Linked DNA regions of Oryctolagus cuniculus. The protein of the gene in region 1 interacts with the protein of each later gene in a pairwise test. Links are inferred from orthologs where the notes say so. Each region holds a gene or a part of one and is shown on either strand. Other genes may lie near its edges.

Evidence for each region. The genes of interacting proteins can lie anywhere in the genome.
Region 2: the proteins of RBPMS (region 1) and FOXS1 interact in a two-hybrid assay, tested with the Homo sapiens proteins (2 studies listed by BioGRID and IntAct). The link is inferred for Oryctolagus cuniculus from reciprocal best matches to the Homo sapiens genes RBPMS and FOXS1.

What each region holds. Positions count from the first base shown.
Region 1 is NC_091433.1:80,425,839-80,429,580, forward strand, and holds the start of RBPMS (RNA-binding protein with multiple splicing), read left to right. Parts: upstream 1-1,335; 5' UTR 1,336-1,617; coding exon 1,618-1,683; intron 1,684-3,742. Other genes in the region: collagen alpha-2(I) chain-like, read right to left, coding at 451-1,221.
Region 2 is NC_091442.1:25,886,332-25,890,073, reverse strand, and holds the start of FOXS1 (forkhead box protein S1), read right to left. Parts: upstream 2,626-3,742; 5' UTR 1-2,625. UniProt on the Homo sapiens protein: Transcriptional repressor that suppresses transcription from the FASLG, FOXO3 and FOXO4 promoters. May have a role in the organization of the testicular vasculature.

The DNA of each region.
Region 1 (3,742 bases):
GGGGGAGGGGAGGCAAGATAAAGGGCAGGCCAGTCAATAAATAGAAACTGTGATAGGTGCTGTGCAGGAAGGAATTCCTGGGAGCGGGAGGCGGCGCTGAACGAACTAGTTGCGAGTTGTAAGGTTATACATTTGTAGCAGTCAAGTTTAGACGCATAACTGGACCCATAAGACAAAAGGCTCCAGGCCCAGAAGAAATGGAAATTTTCTTCATAATGATGTTAGCATCCATGTTGTAAGCCTACAGCGGGCAGGAGGGTGTGAGGCGTGCCCCCCACACTCCGGGGTAACTGCACCCATTTCACGGACGAGAAAATAAAGTAGGCAGTCCCCCAGAGGCGCGGCGGGAACACTAGGCGGGCGCCTCGCTTTGCCCGAATGCCTTGACCCTCCAGGGCTGCCTGCCAAGACTCGTTTAGAAAAGTGCCCACTGTGTGCCGGGGGGCTCATTTAAACAGCCGCGGGATTAGCCGGATAAACAGGGCTCGGTCTCCTTTGCCAGGAAGGCGCTCCCCAAAGAGAGGCCAGGTGAACAATCAACTCCAGAGCGGGCCGGCGGGGGGCTCGCGGGGGGCTCACGGGGGCCCGGCTGTCCCCGGCGTTCCTCCGTCCCGGGCCTCCAAGCCCTCGCCCCGAGGGCGCGACCCGCGTCTCAGCCCCTACCGGCGAGGAGCCCGGGGGCGCGCAGCTCCCTCGTGGAAAGCAGGCAAACAAAAGTGGCACATCCCAGCCCCCGGTCCGCGCACGGCCAGGGCCCGGCTCCCCGAAGCCCCCTCTCCGAGCCGGGGCGCGGGGGACGCCGCGTGCGCCCGGGGACCCGGCTCTCCAGCCTCCCTTGCTCAGCCCGCCCGGCCCTCGCTCTGCCGTCGAGCCGGGGCCGGGGTCGGCCGCTTCCGCTCCGCGCCGCCGCCCCTCCCCGGCGCGCGCCATCCGGCCCGGGCCGCGCCGACTCCGCGGCCCCTCCTCCCGCCGGGGGGCTTCGGCGGCCCCCGTCCCGTCCCTGCGGGCTGACGGCGGCAGCCCACGTCCAGGGAGGGCGGAGGGAGGCGGAGAGGGAGGGGAGAGCGGAGAGGGGAGGGAGGGAGGCGAGAGAAAGGAGCTGCAGCGGACTCGGACTTCCCAAAGCCGGCCAGGAGCGCGCAGCCAGCGGCTCTCCGCGTCCCAGCGTCCCAGCCGCGGCCGGCGCCTCCTCCTCCTCCTCCTCCTCTCCGGCCGCCCCATCCCTTCCTTCCAGCCTCGCTCTGCTCCGGCAGCGGCAGCCCCCAGCCCCAGCTCTCCGCGCTCACTCCTGGGACGCGCGCCCTCGCCCCATCCTCTCTTCCTCCCTCCCTCCCTTCCTTCCTTCCCTCGCGCCCGCCCTCCCGCCCCAGGTCTCCCTCCCGGTCGCGATTGTCTCCGCGCCCCGCTCGGCCGGCCCGCGCCCGCGCCCTGCCCGCACTTCCTCCCCGAGTCGCCCGCCGCCGTCGTCTGCGCGCCGCGGGAGCCCAGCCCGAGCCTTCGCAGCCCCGCGGCGCCCGCCCGAGGCAGCCCCGGCGCCCCGGGGAAGGCAGAAGCGGGCGAGCGCGCCCTCGCCCAGCCCCGCGCCCCAGCCCTGCCCGGCGACGAAGGACCGGGAAGATGAACAACGGCGGCAAAGCCGAGAAGGAGAACACCCCGAGCGAGGCCAACCTCCAGGAGGAAGAGGTAGCGGTGGCCCGGGCGGGCGGCGGGGCGCGTCCGGGGGCCGGCGCGCCGTGGCCCCGGCTGGGTGCGTCTCCAGGGCGCGGGTTCTGGGGGTGTCCGCGCACCCTGCGCTGCGTGACTTGCAGAACTTTGCGGAGACACCCTCCAAGTAGAATGCTCGGCTTTGTGTGCCCGGGATTTTAAAAGCGGAATCGAGAGCTGACTCCTGGGTGACCTCAGGTTACTGGGACCCGAGGGTCAGGGCTTCTCTGAGCGCCAGGGGCTGGAAGCCGGCGGGAGGGAGTGCGTGTGTCTGTGTGCGTGCGTGCGGGCGGCTTTGGGAAGGAGTTGGGGAGAAGCTCTGTTAGGGGCTGGCGCTGGCGCCGGTGTGAAAAGTTCTTGGCCAAGTCTCTCCGGAGCCGGGGCGTGTGTGGATTCATCGATAACTCGCCGCCCGCGAGGCGGGAACCCCCGAACCCCGGGCTGTGGTAGACTTCGGGGGCGGGGTGTGGATGTGGGGAGCAGAATGAGAGGGGCCGAAAGCGTCGCTCCCGGAATGCTGGCCAGGACGCTGCGGTAGGACTTTGATTTGGGTTGTGCGTCCGGGATCCTGGAGGGGAGACAGCTTGCAGTTGGGGGGCACTTGCCTTTGGCAAACGCGAAGCCGAGGAAGTGTGGGGAAGGGGTGTGCGGGACGCACGTTCCAGAACTCCGTAGTTAGGGGATGATTGTGGGGTTTCTCAAATGACTGTTCCCGCAGCCCCAGAAACAGTGCCTCCGCTCACTTGCTGAGTTCCCTCGAAGTTGGGGCTCTCAGCCTTCCGCCAAGAGCTCGCGCGCGTGTGTGCGGGAGCCAGAGAGCGTGCGGTGCGCGCGGGCGGCGAGGCGGTGCCGCAGCGCCGGGCCCGAGAGTTGGAAGTGGACCTCGTGCAGGAATCCCTCAGCCCTTTTAAGTCGTCCACGTGTAAAATTGGAGCTATTTAATTAAATAGGAGAGACAGGCGAAGACCATGCAAAACAATGCAAAAGGTAGCGCCGTGGAGCAGCGTTGTCACCTGGGTGAGTTAGTAAGCTGAGAATTGGCTCCTGGAGGAAATCGCCTGTTTTATGACAAAGCTTTATTTTGAAAAGCTGTTTGCCCCTTCTTGTTTGGTGCCTGCAAATGTAGGACTACTCGTGACAGTGCTTTTAAAAAGACACCAAGGCTGGAATTCCAAATTCCACTTTCTGGCTTCTCTACTGTTTAGTTTATTTTCCCTGTCCTTTAAAAACTGAAAAATGATGGCAAATTTGCATTTTCAGGAATTGGCATGTGCAGCTAATTCACTTAACCCGTCAAGAGAATCATTGCTTCAGAAACCTTTCTGTTCCACTTAGAGTGGCAATCTGGCCGCTCCTAAGTGTGAGAGTGTATCTTGTGAAACAATCTTTCTCTGTTAACCAGTTGAGGAAACTTGTAGTTAAGAGAAAGTTCATCAGACTGCAGATTTTTTTCTTTTTCTTTTGGTAGTAGCAAAATGGGCTCAGGTGTCTCGAAAACCATATCCAATTAACTTAAAATCGAATGGACGACAGAAGTCAGATTTTTCTCTTGACCCATGCCAGGTGAACTGCCGCCAGGATTTGCCTGGATGGGCTCGGTTATCGCGAGGTTGTGGGTCCCTGTGATCAGAGGCCATCCAAGTCGCAGGCATTGCTTCTAGTTTCCCCAGCAGCGTTCCTTTCCGGGTGGGAAAGGCGTGGGCTCCTCCAGGTGTAGGTCTTTTTAGCAAAACGCTTGTTACTTAAAAAATAAGACAGGAGGTAGGAAGGTTTCAGAACCCAGGTTGTATAAGAAGCGAGAGTATACACTGCGGATACACCCTGACCAGAGAGGGTTTATGGTTGACATTCTGGTTTTGAAACACTAACCTCCTCTCTCTTTCTCCCCCTCCCCTTTTTTTTCCTAACCCTGAAAGCCACAAGTTAAATAAATATGGCATTTGGTGGGTGCCATTCAGTGAGCTTAGCATTGCACAAAATCCCACTGCACTGGCCGCTTTGCCTGCCCACCCAGAGGAGCAGCGGTTTGTTTTCAGAA
Region 2 (3,742 bases), on another chromosome or scaffold:
AAAGGAAGACCTTTCTCTCTGTCTCTCTCTCTCACTGTCCACTCTGCCTGTCAAAAAATTAAAAAAAAAAAAAGATTCCTACAAAAAGGTCAGAAATCAGAAGCGGAAAAGCTCTGACCCGCGGTGGAGCGCAGTTTCTCTACTGGCCGGCAGGGGGCGGTGTAGGTGCCCTCTCCTGCTTACCGCGGGATCCCTGACGCTCACAGCCGGGCGGCACGGGCTGCCCTCCCTCCGTGGCCCCTGCGCTGGAGCCGGCCTCGGCTCTAACAAAGACAGCGCCTGCAGCCGCTGCTGGCTCCCTGGCCAGCGTCCTGTGCCCGGGGTTCGGGCTGAGTTCTCTATTTAAGGGTCTGCAAACGCCGAGCCTGTCTGCGGCCTGGGAATTTTGTCACCGACGGGCCGCGCTGTGAACCCTGTGGATCCAGTCCTGGGATCCAGCCCAGCTGTAAGCAATGCCCTGACGAACTCCGTGGCTGGTTGAGGCCGGCAGGAAGTGAGGCGCCGGTGGCACGCTGGGCCTGAGCGAGAGCCCAAGTCTTGTTTCCCACTTGCCGCGCATCTGGGGCCTCACGGGCAGCTCCGTCCCTGCGCCCGCCCGGGAGGCCGAGGGCCACCGTCCACTTCCGCTGGCCTCCTCCCCCGGCGGCCCTAGCCACCAGTACGGGGAGCCCCGAGCCCCGGGCGCAGGTAGGAGAGGCTGCAGCGGCCGGGGCGCCGCTGACAGCCGCGCCGGGAGGTGGGGTGCTGGGGTGGGGCCCCGGCTCGGCCTGCCAGGAGCAGGGAGGGCCGCGGCAGTTCTAGCCTTAGCCACGGCCCATTGTCCAGGCAGGCCCGCAGAAACCAAAGGTTGCCCAGGGGCGGCGCCCGGGGCCGAGGAGCGAGGACGGGGGCGTGGCTCCCGGCTTGGGCGGAGGGCTGCGCTCAGCGGGCCGCCGTCTGGCCTCGGGCCCTGGGTGGCCATCCTGCAGGTGGGCTCGCAGTTCTGCGGGCAGTGACGCGTGCGGGCTGGGTCAACTACCGGTCACCCCCACACGCCTGGAGCCCGGCCCGTGCTCACGCCCCTTCCTGCGCCAGGCCCAGTTCCCTGTCTCCACGTCTGGCTGGTGTCCCACGTCTGTGCTGATCGATCCGAGCGCATGTCCCCTATGCCCACTCCCATTGCCTTGTGCTGATCTCGTGCCCAGCACCCTGCAGGGCGCCCCTGCGCCCACACGGGTACCCAGGTCCCGGGCTTCTGCCCCGCCTTTCTGTGCCCACCCCCGCCTGCCGACCTCCGGAGCTGTGCCCGACCTCTGGGGGCCCACATTGTTTCCCACTCCCCGTGCTTCCGGGCCATGTCCTTTGTTTCGATGCCCACCCCATACCCAGCACCTTCGAGCTCATTCCCCTGCGCCCGCGGCGCCCGCCACCGCACGGCCGCGCCCTCCCCGCTGGGACAGCAGCGCGGGCCGGGCAGTTGGCGGGCCGCACGCGCGCTCCAGCTCGTTGCGCTGCGCTCCGTGCAGGACAAGCGGGCCGCGCCAGTACACGCTGCCTTGGCACAGGCGCGTGGCGAACGGACCCTCGGGCGCCACCCACGGCAGCACCCCGCACTTCAGGTGCGGCCACAGGTGCCGTGGCAGGTGCGCACGGAACAGCGGCTGCCAAAGCGGACCTACGCAGCGCGTGGTGGCGGCCCCAGCGGACTCAGAAGGCAGCGCTCGGCGGAGCCGCAAGGGCAGCCAGCCATCTGCGGGGCGAGGAAGGAGGGCGGCCACCTTGGCGAGGTTTCCCTTCCTCACCCCCTCCACCACGGGTCAGGCGACCCACAGGTCCTCCTCGCCCTCCCCATCAGTGATGGCAGTGACTCTTGTAGTAGCAATAGTAGTAGTAGCAACAGCAGCAGCACTACATAACAGCTTCCAACATAAACCACCCGTGGTCCAGCGCGGTAACCACAAGCAGCCTCACCGGCCCTGGAGAGCACTCCCAAGGATGCCTCCCATACACGAAGCCCTCTGCCAAGGTTAGCTGTTAAGGGGTTGTTCCAGGGGGTCTGCATGTGGATGGGAGACGGAGGCCGGCTGCCCCACTCTGAGCCCTCCCCAGTTCAGCCGCTGTCAGAGGGGAGGGTGGGCCATTAGATGCCTCACCAGGGTCGCCACAGGGGTGTCTGGTGGCCCATGCCTGGTACCCCAGGAAGTAGGGGAGCGGTTAGGGCCCCTCCCCCTGACTCCTCCCCACCTCCATCCAGGAGAATGGGGAGGAGGCAGGTGGGTGGGGCCGTCCTTGCTGGGTCAGCCAGGGGGCCTGGCAGGAGGGGCCCTGCGGGGCCAGCCTGAGGGGCTGCTGCTTGTTGTCACCCTCTGTGAGCACTGGGACAGAGGATCCTGACTGTGAGAGGAGACCTGGGGGCCGCAGGAGTTCCCAGACTGTCCCCGCCGGCCCGCCCTGCCTCGCCCAGGGCAGGGAGGGGTCTGGGCGCACTGAAGCGCAGCTGGGGAAGTTTCAGGTCTCAACACTGTCCCCAGTGGGGAGGGAAAGAAATTGGGGGGGAAGTGTTGGAGGTGATGGTCGCCGTACTGGGAAGCACAGTGCAGGGTGAATGTGGAGAAGGATCTAGTGATGATGGAGATGGGGACAAAGCTGTGGGAGGGGCCCCAGGGACAGTGGGAGGGACCAGAACTGATGGCCGGGTCCACAGACTGAGCCGCAAACCTCAGATGAGAGGAGAGGTGGGGGGAGGCAGAGCCTATGGGGTAAGGGAAGCAGTGCCTGCTGGAGCCAGGGGTGAGCAAGGGGCAGGGGGCACAGTGACGGACCCATGGGCCATCTGGGAGCTGAGTGTGATGGGGTGATGGGCACAGGGGGGAAGTGGCAGAGGTGGGAGGGGGGAGCAGAGTTGGCGGGGGGGGGGGAGCTGATGGGGGCGGGATCAGTGGTGGAGGGGTAGGGCCAGGGAGTGGCTTGCGTGGGAGGTGACAGCTGGCAAGTCTTAGGACTGGAAGGACACTCCGACCTGGTCTGTCCTGCAGGTGGGGCTCAGTCACGTCCCCGGGGCTGCTGGCTGGATCAGGGAAGTGCCTTTTGTGTGAGGAGCAGCACAGACCCTGGGGACTGCTGACCCCCAGTAGGAGTGCCCCAGCTCCCTGTGTGACCTCAGGAAAGGCCACGGGTCAGTGAGCCTTAGCTTCCTGCTTTACAAATGGTCTAAGGGCCCTGAATTTATCAGCCCGTGGATTTAAGCTCAACGAGTCCACCATTTCCTGTTGTAAGTAGACAAAGTGAGGTCCTTACTGCCCAGAGAGCCGCCCTCAGCTACTGCCTACAGGGGCGGGATGGGACCTGGGCCACGGGCAGCGTCACACACAATGTGGGAGGCCTTGTGGGGACAGAGATGCCCACTGGCTGCACTCGGGCGCCTCCGGAAGTCGGCACTCTTGAGAGCACCGAGGAGCCGAGTCTGCCTCGTGGAGGGTGCTGGTCAGGGCCCTCCAGGTGCTTGCCCTGGTACACGGCCCAGGCCTGCACACGACAGGGGAGCTGGGGAGGGGGCTGGTGCCATGCAGGGGGAGGACGGACTGCCTGTCTCCCACCCCTCTTTCTCTCCATCTCCCCTCCCTCCCTGCTTTCCTCCTATCCACCCGTCTCATAGTCTTCAATCTCCTTCTATATTCTATGCCTTAGCTAACACTGAGGATTGAATGAGGAATAAAACAGATATGGTCCCTGCTCTAATGGGAAAAGCCAGCTGCAATCAGCT